Tribolium castaneum: one gene and its partner. The main gene of each other region encodes a partner of the protein of the gene in region 2 in a complex. Links are inferred from orthologs where the notes say so. Each region holds a gene or a part of one and is shown on either strand. Other genes may lie near its edges.

Region 1 (8,689 bases), about 14 Mb from region 2:
GAATTCAGAATTGACTTGGATTTGAGGACAGCGGGGTACATTAAGGCCGTTCAGAGCATTCACAATTCGATTTACGAAGCGAAAAAATACTGATTTTGTGAATTCCAAAATGTATTAAAGTGTAATAAATGATAAATCTTCCCTGAGAACGCATTTTTGTAAACTTTAATGTAATAAATAATTATCTTAGATTTTTTGAGTGACGTTTGTTGTGTGAATGCGGCTTTAGAATCAAGTGACTTTTTTTAGTAACCAGTTTTTTTATTTGAAAAGCAACTGTGGTGCAAATAACTAACCCATTATCACAATAATTCACATAAAAGTGCACCTTAATGGGTTTTTAATTAAAAAAACAGGTATACATAACTAAATTAAAGGTGCGTTTAGAGCTCTACAACCCACTGGATTGCACCTATAATGTTGGGCTTTGAAAATTAAAATAAAAAATTGGCACTGTTCTTTAAGCGTTAATTAAAAAAAAATAATTTTATTATACGAAAACAAGGCAAAAGAAAAAATTCTAAATGATCAAAGATAAGCAAGTGGCACAGTTGGCGCCTCGAAGAATTGGCGCTTGCGCGCGTGACGTTTGAGGTTATGTGGCATAAACAAACCCCAATTTTTTCCAAATAAAACCCACAAAACGCCATGGACGACCAAACACGCACCCTCTGGTGCGGCAACCTATCGGAGAAAGTGACCGAAGAGCTCCTGTGGGAGTTATTTCTGCAAGTGGCCCCCTTAGAGCGCGTCCGAATCCCAACCGACAAAAGCGGCCGTAAAACAAACTACGGCTTCGTTACAGTCAAACACGAGTGCTCCGTTAGTTACGCCGTGCGCCTACTTGACGGTACCCCCCTTTTCGACCGCAGGATCATCATAAAACCGAAGGGCCAAAATGTTCAGCAGCCCAGCCCTGGAGACATGTACAGGAACCCCTACCAGCACAACAGGCCCCACCGGCAGACGCCCTACCAAAGGTACGACAATCATAATCACAACCACAACCATAGGCCCAACTGGAATAATAATAATCACAGGAACCGCAGGAGATATTGAAATAAAACCAATTTTTTATTAAAAAAATCGCAGTTTTTATTTAATTAATTGTTACAATTAGATGAGAAATACGATCCCGTCCGCCAACATCACTTGGTTGGCTTCAGTCATTTGGTCAATTGCGGCTCGGATTTCGCCTTGGCTGAAGGGGGCTATATTGTCAGTGTTGACGGAGTCGCGGATGCGGGCAAGACTTAGAGACTGCGCCCTGTTGTCCCGGAAAGCCCTGTCGAGACTTGACCGAAACTGAGTCAGCCTCTCACTCGTGATCATGGCAGGCGTTGAGTCAATTTCAATTGTTTCAGTCTCCATTTCTTCCTCACTTTCTTCCACTTCTTGCCGCGATTTCTTCGTTCTTTGTGATTCCTCCTCCATTTCTTCATTTTCGGACTCGGATTGTGCGTTTCTTCGCCGTTTTTTCTCCTTCTCGAGCACTTTTTTGAAATAGGCATATTGCACCAATTCAATTGCTGCGTAGGCGTCTTGTGCGGTAACAGTGCGAGACATGCGGGCTTTGGCATGCGCTGTGGCCAATCGGATCATGGTTTCAAGCGTACGGGGTGTCACAGGTTGTGTCTTCGAAAAAAAAATTATGCACGAGACGAAGACGAGTGACTATACCAAAAAAACCTATAAGTGGAACCTACCCGGGCGACGTGATTTTCAAGGACGTCCTCCGACCTGAGTTTGGAGTACTCATCGGCGATGATTTCCGACGCTTGTTCGGTTAGTGTCGGTTTGAGGATTTTCACGAAATGGATGTATTTACGCATGAAATCCACACTTAGGATTTTGTCGGTTTTTTTGCGACTTTCACCGTGTAGAAGTGCGTCGTATTTTTCATACATGGGGGTGACCTTGTCGTCGTCGACTTCCTCGGGGCGCATTGTACTCAACATGTCCACGCTTGAGCCCATTGGCAGGACTTCGCCATCTTGCTCACCCGGATTTCTAATATTTTTATCAAGTTCAAAATTAGTATTTATAATTTTTTATTAATTTTTTTTTACTTATTTATTTTTAATTAACTGTATCTGTCATTTTAAAGTCATATTATTTATTATTTATATTATTAACCCCCTTGGAGGTGGAAGTTCAATTTGCAGATTTAAATTAATTAACTATATTTTTTGGGTACGATTTTGTATCTCGTTCCGCCTCCTAACACACAGTCCTCCGTAGTCCGCACAAGCCTACTAAAAAAAAATACCTATATCGGTGCATCCTGACCACGTGATCCGAAATCATCAAATCATGATCCTCATCCACTGAATCCAACATCACGAACAGCAAATCAAACCGCGACAGGAGCGAGTCTTGCAACCCGATGTTTTCCATTGGCGTCTTGTACTGATCATACTACAAATCACCCAATCAAATCGCTGCTTTCGCAACCGACCAATCAAACCCCACCTTTCCGTAAACCGGATTGGCCGCCGCCAAAACCGAGCACCTGGCATTCAAACTTGCGTGAATCCCCGCCTTGGCAATAGTGACACGCCCCTGTTCCATGACCTCATGAATGGCCGTCCTGTCCATATCCGACATCTTGTCGAACTCATCAATGCACACGACGCCACGATCGGCCAAAACCATCGCACCGGCCTCTAACCGCCTCTCGCCGGTCTCCTGATCGGTTGTAACCGCTGCGGTTAGACCAACCCCCGACGATCCACGCCCAGTGGTGGGAATGGCCCGAGGGGCGGTGCATAACACGTATCTCCATGGCAACTGCCAATCACAATCAACGATTCACAAATCGAGTCGACTTACCGGAGGAGCTGTGACTTAGCAACGCTGGGATCGCCAATCAGTAACACGTTTATGTCCCCTCTTAGGCGCGTCCCATTGGGCAGGATCTTCTCGACTCCGCCCAAAAGGAGGCACAGGATCGCCTTCTTGATGTACTCGTGGCCGTGGATTGACGGCGCCAAAGACTTGGCTAATAATTCAAAGACGTTTTTGTTCGATTTGGCCAAGTTTTTACATTTGGCGACGTCTTCACGTGAAATGGAAGGATTTGCTTCTTTTGACAGTTGGGACACGTTACTTGCAATCACCACAGTGCTGCAAACATTAATCCCGTGGCAAAAAAATGACTAAATCACACTAATTGTTAACTATTTTTGAATGAAAATAAAGACAGTGGGGCACCAAGTCGGATCAAGTGTGTTGTTTACGTGACTATATTATTGTTTAAAACACATTTTCGTAATGTAATGATTGTTTTATGGCGTCCTGTCAATTCTAGTTCCAAAACCAAAATCACCAGCTTTTTAAAATTTGGCCCCAATTATTTTTTTATGTTTTTGCTTAATAATTATGGGAAAAATACCGGAAAATGCCGTTAGTGAAGCTCCCCTGTTTGTTGGGAAGGCACCGGTAGTTCCCCACCACTTGTATGCGGTCCCCGGGTTTGCACCTATCAACAAGGTCATTATCGCAGATTATATCAACCGAACGGGGCAACTGCCCCGCGGGGGCCTTTTCAGGCATCTCCTGAATGGAAATAGTTTGGTGGTCTTTATACACCGAAAGCCCAAATTCTGTCTCCAATAAATTGCCATCCTCGTCCTAAACCACTCAAATTAATTGATAAAAAATACAAAAAAGACACGACTGACTTTAGTGGGGTACACCGACGATGTGGGGAAGGCATCTAACGAAGTCAAATCAGTGTATTTCCTTTCCATTACTTTTTTCGTTACTGGACAAAAGTGGACACTCCGGACGACCTTGGGGTGCACCAACGAGCCTTAAAAACCAACCGGTAACGCAAGAAAGACGCAAACAAGTCCTACATTTCGTCACAATCCCCTCAACACAGACCAAATTCCCCAAAAACCTCGAAGTCAAACTCCTTGGAGTAACATGCTTATTGCCGAAGCTCCCCTCAAAGGCGATGAAAAACTCGTCGTTTTCCTTGGCATAGTCGTGCGCGACTGTGTAAACATACTCTTTGAGGGCTTTCTGAAACGCCGAATGCTCCTCAAAAGCGTTAGTGAGGAGGGCGGCAGCCCTGGCCGGGTTTTTGCGGCGCAAATCATTGACATTCACCACAAGCCGCAAACTGTGGTCCGCAACCATGTTTTTAACAAGTGTGGCGTACTTGCCTTGGTCCTCCTACGGGAATTTGGGGTTAAAACACGGGGGGAAGGCAACACCACCAATTCGTACCTCGTCATCGAGGAAGTCCAAGTACTCGTGCTGCATGTCGCGGAGGCGCTGGTCTAGCTCCTGGGGGTCCATAATGGGGCACTTAACACTGGAAATGCGGGTAATAACGGGCGAAAACACGGGAGGAGTTTTGGCGGGAAAAGAGCCACAGCGGTGTTGCCAAGTCGGGCCTGGGTGGCCAGATAGCTGGCACCATGAACATTACAATCGACCAGACAAATCATAATAAAAACATCAATAAGCTGTTACAGTGACTTGCATATCACATTTGCAGAACATCTCCTGACCGTTTTAATGTGTTTCTATTACAAATTAAAACTTAACTGCATTTAATTTCTACATTTTTTATTCCCTTATTCTCAGCAATTGTCTGGTCAACTGTCATGTGGGAACAGTGTCTAGCTGTTGACACCTTGTAGCAGCGTGTGAGCGTCGTGAGCGTGTTGTGCATCGATTAACAGGTAAGTCTTGATTGTCTTGATATTTATTAAATGTTATAAGTAAAATGTAATTCGTCTGACATTATGTTTATTTTCAACGATTGTGTCTAAAATTAAAGTAAATCAAATAACTGAATCCTGACCCACGACCACGTGGTTTTTATATTGTAATTGTTTTCGCGTCCAAAACATGGCAGTAATTACATAATAACTAGAATAATTATATTTATTATACTGTTATCACTAGGAAGTTGTAACACGTGTTGTACGGTAGGCAAAATTGCTTATCTGAATTTGTGTTTTTGTAAAGGTTTTTAAATATCGCAGAGAAAATGGCTGCTTAACGCTGACTCGTACTGTAAGTTGTTTCTATTGTTGTAATGTACAACTTTCACTTTCCTGTTAAATGTGCAACCCTCAATCCTTAACCGCTCGTGACGCCCCCCTTCTGGGAGCAGGTAGTTTTTCCTTCTTAAAAAGGACCGTCACAAAAATGAGGGAAGGAGACGCGATGTAGAGCTAAAAGTAAATTGTTGTAACGTTGTAAGTTGTTGGAAGTTTGTAGAGAATAAATCTGTTGAATTTTACACCGAGTATATTAATATTTCCCCTTTCTGAAGTATCACGAAATCGTGGATACAACACTATTCTTAGGTCCAAATCGCACAATAGGTATTTTTTTTATACTTGGAAGTAAGTGAATAATCTCATTTATCGGAAGAAAGGCATACCTATATTCAGAATACCAATTATTCATTAAACTCAACTAGTTTGTTAAAGTTAACTAATTGCCTTTCGCAGTTACTTTATAATAGCATACTTTACAGGCAAATAAGCTTGACCATTAATAAACTTACCTACTCATTCTATCAACAACACAATTTCTCTCAAAGTTAGTTGCATTCCAAAAAAAAATATATATATATATATATACATTACATTATCATTATTACATTATTATCATCGATTAAATTATAATGAAAACATGTCTTTACCACAATTGTTGTTATATTGTTTATTACCGAATCTTTGCTATAAAACTATTATACAATTTATTATATGCTCTTTGGTTAACTTGATAATATTTTTAATCATCTCTCTTAATTTCAATTATCGTTTCAATTTGCTTTATCTGACTATCTTTTCGAGTGATTCTCCTATATTCAAATAAAACTTTTTAGTGTATTCCAAATATGAATAAAATATTTCTTCCAAAGTAATATAATATTCTTTAATTTCTTGATCCGTTTTTGTATTTAATGTTATTATTAGGGATTTAATATTACGAACACTCAATAAAATCCATATTGTTTTATTTAAATTAACTATTTGGCGAAATATTTATAATATATTTTGTTATCAATTTTTTATAATATGATAATTCATTTTTAATCTTATCATAATTTATTATTTGGTATTCTATTTTATAGTTTTCTAAAATTTTCTTTAAATCTTTCTTAATATCGCGTAAATTCAGTGGGGGATAGCCACCCCCCACTGAAATTCCATATTGTATAAAGCATAAAAGATCATTTGTTATTATTATATTTTTCTTTTAAATAACGTAAACCATATATCGGTCAACCACGTACTCAAATTAATTTTATAGGAGTAGTTATTTTTATTTATAAAGTCCAACAGGTTTAATGGATTAGCATTAATTTTATAATTATGTATTGCCTTAAAAGATTATATTCGTTAACGTTAGTTTCCTATTTATCTAGCAATTCTTCTAATTTAAAATGATATTTCCTAACTTTTTTTTGCCTTATTGTTATTCAACATCATTATTAATTCTTTAAAATTTTTAATCATTTTGTATATATTTATACAAATTTGCTTTAGCATTTTTATAATCTATTTCTTCGTATGAGATTTCCTAGTCCTTTAAAAAGTTCTTAAAATCGCGTTATTTCTTCAATAAATCCCATGAATTGAAGCAAATTATTTGTGATTAATATTTTTCTTTTTCTGCAAAAACAACATATTTCCAAAAAAATACGACTATCAATTTTCTCTTAAAATCAACACCTACCTACGTCTTTACTTATAGCATTTGTTGATTTTTCATAACCCAATATTTCTGCTAAATCTTTACCTTTAAACAAAGGTTGATTATCATTGTCTAATATGAAAAATACGTCTTGATCATAAACTTTCAAGTAACAGTATTATCTATGTCAATAATTTAATTTTTAATTTTTCGCTTCTTCTTTCTTGGAAGATAAAATTCTTTCCATACGTTATTTGTCTTCATCATATAATTACATCTAATAGTTTTATTTATTTTATTTTTTATAATACGTAGGTCCCATATTGCCTCGCATATTGTACTAGATCCCTTTTATTACAAGTATTTATTTTTTTGACAATTAATTAAATAAACATTAAATTGATCACCTCCTCCCTATACCACACATATTTTTTTGAATCTCGAGGCTTATCACAAGTTTACCTCAAAAGGGACAGTGTGTTTTATCATGCACTGTTTATAGATAATTTCTTATGAAAAAAATGTAGTAAATTAAATGAATTGCTCACATAACGATGACCAAGAAGCACGACAAATGTTTCAGAAAAGGTTAAACGATATGAGAAGTATATATAATGTATGAAAATAACGTATTAACCTTGGCAAAACTAGATTTTCTTAAAATACACTTTCGTAATCTTGAAGTCTTTGATGAATAAATTTGTTCTAATAAATGACAAGTCTTTGCTCCATTTGTTTGGAATTAAAATGTCCAGATGATTTTTATAACTATAGAAATAAATATGAAAAAACATGTAAACAATGTAAAAAAGCTGTTAATTCTACTCGTTTATTATGTGATTGTGGTAGATATTACACTAGAACTAATTTTAAAAGGCATATAAAAACAGATTTGCATAAAAATGGATTGAATTTATTTATTTACTAAAAATTGTTTGTTAGATTTTTTCCTATAATAAATGGAACGAAGGAACTTAAGTAATCTTCGTTTATCTGAACTGTTTAATATTACAAAATCATTAGACATCAAATATATTAGAAAATATAATAAAGCAATTACATAAGGAAATAAAAAACGGAAAAAAATCAGTTATGCCTCCTTTGCGGAATTCGGACAGAGTCCTCATGAGCGAAGCGAATTCAGAAATATTTTGATGATTTGATGATGATTTATTTGCTGAACCAAGGAAAAAGAGAGTTAGTAAAATCAAATGTGACATATGTGGAAAATATATCAAAAGCACCCGAATGCACCTCCATAAAAAAAAGATTTCTGGAAATTAATGGTTAATGCCCCATATGGTAAGTCAGTCTATGCAATCTGTTAGAAACCAACAAAATATTAAATTATATTGTGATGAAGAAAAATTACAAAAAGCGATAAACAAACCTAATTTTAAACACAGAACTATATTTAGCAAACACCTGGCAGCAGTTCACAATTTTAAAACAAAAGTATTGTTTAATAAACCAATTTATATTGGACAAGCTGTATTAGATTTATCGAAATTGTTAATGTATAACTTCCATTACAATGTAATTAAAAAAGAATTTAATGAAAACGTAAAACTTCTTTATGGAGACACTGATAGCTTTATATATGAGATTAAAAATGCCGATTTCTATGAATTTATGAAAAACAATCCCGACTATTTTGATACAGCTGATTATCCAAAGGATCATCCATTATATTCGGATAAAAATAAGAAAGTAATAGGGAAGTTCAAAGATGAATTGAATGGTATTAAGATATTAGAATGCATAGGTTTAAGGTCAAAAATGTACAGTTACAGAACTGAAACGTCTGTTTCGAAAAAATTAAAAGGTATCAAAAAAGCAGTATTGAAGAAAGAAATAAGTTTTGAAGATTACAAAAATTGCTTGTTTAATCAAAAAGAATACTTTCATAGGCAGAAAGTGATCAGGAGTCATAAACATGATATATTTACTGAAGAAGTAAAGAAAAAGTCTCTAAGTTGGAAAGATGATAAAAGATACCTTTTACCTAATTCTACAGATA
Region 2 (7,064 bases):
TCATCTCTAATTTGTCAACATTCGTATCTTCCACCAAAGATACAATAGTCATTCCGCATTGGCAATGTAATAATTATGAAGCCTCAAAATTCGTACAACGCTCAAAATATCCGAATAAACATTTTCCCGCCATTTATGGTTACTGTTTTCGACCTAGCTCAGTGGCGCCCCCAACGGTAACTTTACTTCCGAATAATAAAAATAAATTATTTTTGAAACGGTTTCCTAGGAAATAATTCCCAGTGTTGGCACATCTACACATTGTGATTTTTTTGATGAATTTTAATGCTAAAGTCTGATAGAAAATTTGAAAATAATTATTCATCGTTTTGTTAGAGAACGACTACCTTGTGTGAAGCATAAAAACATTAAAAAATAACGAAAACTAAAAAAGTTAACACAATAAGTTTGTAGCTTCAGATTTTTTAAAAATGACTTTAGGAATTTTTTCAACATTTTTACAAGTTGCATCGTTTAAAAGTTAGAGGGCTCCAATTTCAAAAATTATTTTCGATTTTATTTAATAACTTTTTAATGGAATAATTTAATGATATTTCATTTAGAAGTTACTAATAAAGAACAAAAATAATTTTTTAACTTTGGCGCCTTCTAACTTTTAAACGGTGACACTTGGTATAGAGGTAAATTGGGTTAAATCGTTTTACTTTGACTTGGAGAATATCTGGTTCCGTTTTGTCCCCATCTTTTCGTTACACCATGTATAAACGAAACGTCAAACCCGTTTTTTTATTTAAAACTTCTTAAGGAAGTTGGTTCGTCGTCAAATTTTATTACAATCAAAAGTGATAATATTGGTTCACCCTTTATTACTATGTTGTTTTTTTTAGGGGTGGCAACGCACCATCTTACGTCTACCGTCTCCTCTCCGAATTGTACCACCCTGACGACTACGAACTTTGAAACCAATTAAATAAAACCATAAATTTTATCAAAACTTTTATTTTTCACCATTACTTTACAAAAATTACGCTTATATTGGCTTAATCTTAAAATGCATTCCAATCAAAGAAAACACCAAACACTTTAAATCCTGCACCAAATAATAAAAGCAGCGCAGTCCTTCGGGATCCTTCGACTGACTCACATCGACCAAAGACCCAGTTTTCGAGGTAGTAAACGAAATGTGTTCATCATTGATCACAATCTCAAGCTCCTGACGACCGATTCTATCCGGTGGCGGCCACAACGAATCGTCTTCTTGCATTATCTCCGAATCGATAATAATCCTCTTGAGCTCCTCCATCACGCACTGATGCACATAAACCTCCTTACGGATCATTGTGTCGTTCTTGTAGTTGGAATTATTGGCGTAACGCAATTTACCATCGGGACGGAACTCAAACTCGAGAAACTCATGCCCAAATTTACCTTTGTGGCCCACGTAGTAACGTATGTAAAAATCGGCAGACATTCTAACGGAATTTAGGGAAGCCGCTTGGAACGTTTGTGGGGTTAGGGATCACTTCTGTCAAATTTGTGACAGCGTTAGTGTTGCCAACACAACAGACAAAATCACCAGGACGGCGCGCTGAAAATTTAATTTGGGAAGTAAAAACGCGTCCAGATCTAGAAAAATTCACGTCTAGAATTTGTCATCAACAGAAAATAAAATGACAAAACTGTATTAGCTGTTTCAGAACTATAAAAACGCCAACGTCGCACTTTACCGAATTATTTTTTTAAATAAGTTTCATAAAATTGTAAAATAGTTATTAATGCATAGATCTCTCATTAAAAGTATAAATTGCATTAGCTGCTATTTTTTTTTGAAGTGCATGAATAATTTATAATAGCGAATTTTGAGAGAAAATGCGATCTTGACGTTTTTATAGTTTTGAAACAGCTAATACATCTTAGAAACAGAAGGCAAAATCGGACAAATCTAGAAACATACACAAGCAGAATCGGACAAAACTAGAAACATACATAACAGAACAGTATTGACCTAAAAAAAATACATTATCAGCAACGTATTTCACGTATTTGTTTAGAAAAATACTTCATTAGAAACGTACAACGCAGAACCGTACCAAACAGAAAAGTGGTGGGGGGAATCAAACTCAGAATTAGAAGCTTGCTCAACAGAGGGTGCTGTTATAGGTGGACATGGCTTCATAGATATAGCCATATTTGTTGACTTTGAGGGTTACAACATTTGCCACCATGTTCATGCGTTGCGTGTGCTTGATTCTGATTGGATGTTATTGTTTGGGTTCAACCATGGTTACTGGTTAGTAGAGACATGGTAGTTAGTAGATCTGGATAAACAATACACACTAATGCTTTTAGGGTCTACATTAGAAACTTTTCGACTTCTGATTTTGTATACAATCCAAATCGACCATTCTGAGTTCAACTAAATTAGTATTTTTAAACTGGCTGATTTTCCGGAACTACGAGAAATTATCATATGTCAATTTTTTTTATATAAATTTTGATTTGCAGGGGTTCATTTGAAATATCACAGCTCGTGAACCCTTTATAATAAGTGAATAATTCTTTTTGCATTTGATAGCCAAAGGTTTGAAAGATCTTCTAAAATCTTCTGTATTGTCAACCGTAAAACTGCCTTACTTTACATAATTCACAAAATTATAATGAAACATAATTAAATATTATTGTTTTACTGCTTATTTGATAATGAACCAGCTAAAAATTAAATAAGTTTGACAATTGTTGACCATTTTGCAAGTTCTACTTGATTAACTATGAAAACTGCGAAGTAGTGATTTAACTTCAAACTTGGCGCCAATTTTTTGTAGTTCCGAAAGCTCAGCCATTTTGAAAAAAAATAAGTTGAATTCAGAATAGTCGATTTAGATCGTGTACAAAATTTTAAAGCTCTAGCTATATTACAAGTTAAAAGTTACTAATGTAGGCCCTAACAGAATCACCGTGTATAACTCAGGTATCAATTTACTTACAAACACTAAAACATGGAATTTAATCAGAGTTGGCGACACTGGACGCTTTTATTTTACGAAATAAGATTAATTTAAGATTATGTTACAACTAATTATTTAGTATTGAATCACCACGTACAAAAATAAGGTAATTTAAATATTTTCAAGGACATTTGATGTTTAAAAAAAAGGCGCCAAATTCAAACAACGTGTTCAAGGACCCCTTGTCGTATTAATTCCTCGCATTCGCTTCTCGGTAAGTAATGACGACTGTTTTCCTTCAATAACAACACCGAACCATCGTTCAATTCAAACTGTCCATAATCCGTTAGACACCTGACCTCAATATACAAAGACTTTGGCGGTTTTAAATCCACAGCTAAATTAATCCCTTCATCACCAATTGATCGCATATATTGTACTAAATTGCTGGAATATTTCGAAAACCATTCAATTTCCGATTGACTTAAATTCGATTTAACATCTGGCGGTAAAATACTGCCGAATTGCCAGCGCATGTTTCTGAGACATTTTAACCGATTGTAGTGATAAGCCAGAATGCATCGAATGTTCCGTTTGATAGCCGCATGCCGTATTTTGACTGTAGGTAAATAAGAGGCGTGATTCATAACCCGACTATCTTCAGAAATTTGACTGAAAAAAAAAACGCTGAAGTATTGGTTTCGAGGATCAAGTGTGTAAACTTACGCATCTTCTTGGTTTTGAGTAATGAGTTGCTTGACTTCAGTGTTGATTTCATTGAGAAGATCAGTCTGAAAAAAAATTGTAAAATATTGAGTGAGGAACAATTTGGTAATTTTTACGTTGTAAGGCGGTAAAGCGTCCCGGTTTCGAGATAATTCTTTGATCAAAACGTGGGCTTTCTCACAAAACATTTCGATTTAAAATTTTGTCTAAATAGTTTTCTAACCTAAAAGCCCGCCAAATGACAGTAAAGGTGCATTTATAATGACAGGCCACAACTAAAGGCGGGTTTACACGAATCACGCGTATCCTTGTGTGATGTCACATCTACGGTAAGTTATGCTGCCCTACTACGCAAAAATTTCGTCACTACTTTTACGTATTTTTTGAGTTATTTCATGTTTCTTAAATTTTCTATGGTATCTTTATTTCATATAATTGAAGTATGAAATTTTGAACTTTAATAAACGATTTATTTGCAAAAATGATATTGGCACGTTATTTTATGCATATCTTTTTAGAGTGCTGTTTTTCAATATACGACAATTGAAATACAAATTTTCTTGAAGTTTCGAAGCAAAAAAGTCGTAACTACAAAAAACATTTTTTGAAGATAATTAAACAATTGATGGCAAAATATTCGTATAATAAATTAACGAAGAAGCAATCTAGATGGACAGTCAATGCTCTTACAAAGTGGCTAATAAGTATGGCTACAGCTAATTTTTTTATTAAAATGTGTTCTTTTACAGACAAAAGTGTTATTTAATAACCATTATTAACTTTAACTTATTTTTTGGTCAAAGTTCAGGCGGAAACGAGCTAACGTTAGATAAAGACAACATTTCCAAAGCAGAGAAAATTTTATTAGTTAGATATTTTTTTAATGAGATAAGCATGTGTTACATCAAGAACTAAAAAAATAAATTTGACCCTTCTTGCTGTGTAAAAAAAGTTAGCCTTGTATCCCCAGAAACAAAATTAATGTAAATGAAAATTTTATAGACATCTAAAACGATAGAATTTAAACAGTACTTTTAAGCAAATACAAGATTTCAATTAATTATTATTTAATATTTAACTGTATCCATACTTTTTAGCAACCAAGTATAAGAGTAATATTATAATATCTAATAATAACAATGAATACTTAACTAAATAGACATTTTTAATTTTATTTTTGGGGCAAATTGTTCCAAAAATTATGCTATTAAGAAATGAAATGGGACAACTAAATATTTTTTTTATCACTTTTGGAAAATTTTGTTAATTTTTTTAGTTCGATGGTAATATTTCATGACGGGTCTTGCACAATGCAGTCTTGTCAACTGAAAATTGTAGTTGAAAAAATAGGCCTTAGTACCAAATGACTTTATTAATTTAATTTTACTACTTACATGTTTCTAAAGGAATAAAATCACAGATATATTGATTATTGTTTAACAGATAGTAGTAACTATGACTTAACCCTATAAAAATCTTGAATAAAACACTTCAATATGAAAACAATCATCCAAAGTTATCACAAAAAATATTCTTTACAAGAGATGATACAATATCAGGAATTAAAATAAGAAACATGTTACGCCTGCTGCATACAAATATTTCTGTATAAATATAAAGTACTTTATAAAAAAGAATACATCAATGCGCAGTAGTAGCTATTAACACATTTAGTATATACAGGGTGATGAGCGTGATTTAAACACGCTACAACAAAACCTGTATGTTCCACCAAACAAGGAGGAGAAAAATGCTTCATTATGATACAACATCAATTTCTCTAGGCGACGCCAAAGCAGGTGGCACCACCTGTTGGATGATATTATGGGAAGGTGAGTTTCCTAAAGGTTGGCGCATCTTTATTTCGGCGTTTTCCTTCGCTTCCAGCGTCGCCTGCTTGATGGCTTCTTTGTATGGCCCCCTTTTTTTCTTATTGTAACGTATCTGTGATGATAATAATAATAATACTTAAGTTGGTGTTACATTTTATAGACAATTTATTGTCATTTTTTTAATCTGAATTTTAATGAGACTCACCTTAAAATTTTCTAAATATGGACTTAACTGATCGCACTGCATTAGTGACGACGTTGAGGAACCGTACCATGCGACATGCGCTTGGGGCCCTTGGCCTCCACAGTTCGTGATGGTGAGCACTTTGCCTGGCCACCAAGGAAAGCCGTGGATTTTGCCCCAGACGACATCGCCGACCAACATACGGCCTCCTGGAAAAAGTAAGCTTTTACTACAAGTAAAAGCATCTTGTGCGGTTATTTGCTTTTTAACGTCGACGTTTTAATCATTTTCTTTATAAAACAAAATGTAAAGTCATTGTCACTGTCAAAGATACAGAAATAAATCAAATGGGAAGTCAAAGAAAAAAATTATTTTGTCCTATACAGGGGTGTTCCATTTTTACACGTCAGCCTTTAACATGTTTTTTAATGGCACCACTTGTATATTTTTACATATTTCAATTTGCACTTTTTTCGGCTTTATAAATCAGTTTAGTTTTTGCAATTTGATTTAACCGTTCAGTAGTTATTTAATTTTTTCTACAATTTTGTGCGTGTGCAGGCACATTATTAAGAAAATTGCAGTGCACTCGACAACTGTCGAGGCTACCTTTCAGCAATAAGACTGTCCATTTGTATTGTAGCATTACCATGCAGTGACATATTCATTTTAAAGGACCATAACTTAATTTTTTCAAATAGCACCCCCTGTATTTTAATACTGAGTTAATACTCTGAATAATTTCAGCATCTCATTCTACATCTTTTTTACCTGTTAAGTTTTTTGGTTTTTTCAAAAGTTGACAGTTTGGGAGAAACTCGGTTTTTCTGAAAAATATTTATATACAAGTATACAGGGGGTGCCATAAAAAAAACTATGATAATGGCTGCACCGTAAAAATGAAGGATCCTGTATAGGGCAAAATAATTTTAGAACGTGCATTTTGACTTCCTGCCCATTTGCAGTGTTATTTGATTCATTTCGATATCTTTAAAAGTGTAGTGCCCATATCAATGACTCACCCTGTGTGTACTTTTTTCATTGTGAATTTACTTCAAAATTGTTGATGCTAACCAATACGTCCATCACGTTTTAAAAGTAACACACTAAATTTAAATGATGGCGGATGGACAAGAAAAATTTACAACTTCGCGAATGCTTAGGAAGAGATTTCAAGAATTTATATCGGTTTAAACTACAAAATGTTCATGCTATGGATGCGTAATTTTTGTATGAGAAAAACGAGAGGGTACCCTAATGGAAATTCATTGAATAATTACACACAACCTAAAAGTCTAAGGATATTAGTAATTTCTCTGGATAATGAATTAATGATGTAATAAATGAAAATTTTGGCATTTTTTCGAACGAATTGTTACTTATTAGCGTAAATGTTATAGACTTCATAAAAATAAC

What was found.
Region 1: DNA replication complex GINS protein PSF1 (region 2) and Mcm3 share a complex: the UniProt entries of both Homo sapiens proteins name them as parts of the CMG helicase complex. The link is inferred for Tribolium castaneum from reciprocal best matches to the Homo sapiens genes GINS1 and MCM3.

Annotation. Positions count from the first base shown.
Region 1 is NC_087400.1:2,691,432-2,700,120, forward strand, and holds Mcm3 (DNA replication licensing factor Mcm3), read right to left. Parts: upstream 4,438-8,689; 5' UTR 4,309-4,437; coding exon 4,237-4,308; intron 4,183-4,236; coding exon 3,861-4,182; intron 3,815-3,860; coding exon 3,684-3,814; intron 3,634-3,683; coding exon 3,395-3,633; intron 3,127-3,394; coding exon 2,833-3,126; intron 2,780-2,832; coding exon 2,473-2,779; intron 2,419-2,472; coding exon 2,270-2,418; intron 2,011-2,269; coding exon 1,707-2,010; intron 1,636-1,706; coding exon 1,117-1,635; 3' UTR 1,071-1,116; downstream 1-1,070. Other genes in the region: glutamate dehydrogenase, mitochondrial, read left to right, coding at 1-93; RNA-binding protein 7, read left to right, coding at 649-1,059. UniProt on the Homo sapiens protein: Acts as a component of the MCM2-7 complex (MCM complex) which is the replicative helicase essential for 'once per cell cycle' DNA replication initiation and elongation in eukaryotic cells.
Region 2 is NC_087400.1:16,458,021-16,465,084, forward strand, and holds DNA replication complex GINS protein PSF1, read right to left. Parts: upstream 3,914-7,064; 5' UTR 3,821-3,913; coding exon 3,749-3,820; intron 3,698-3,748; coding exon 3,633-3,697; intron 3,579-3,632; coding exon 3,125-3,578; 3' UTR 2,975-3,124; downstream 1-2,974. Other genes in the region: eIF2Bbeta (translation initiation factor eIF2B subunit beta), read left to right, coding at 849-921; protein mago nashi, read right to left, coding at 992-1,432; PWWP domain-containing protein 2A, read right to left, coding at 5,391-5,576, 5,670-5,857. UniProt on the Homo sapiens protein: Required for correct functioning of the GINS complex, a complex that plays an essential role in the initiation of DNA replication, and progression of DNA replication forks.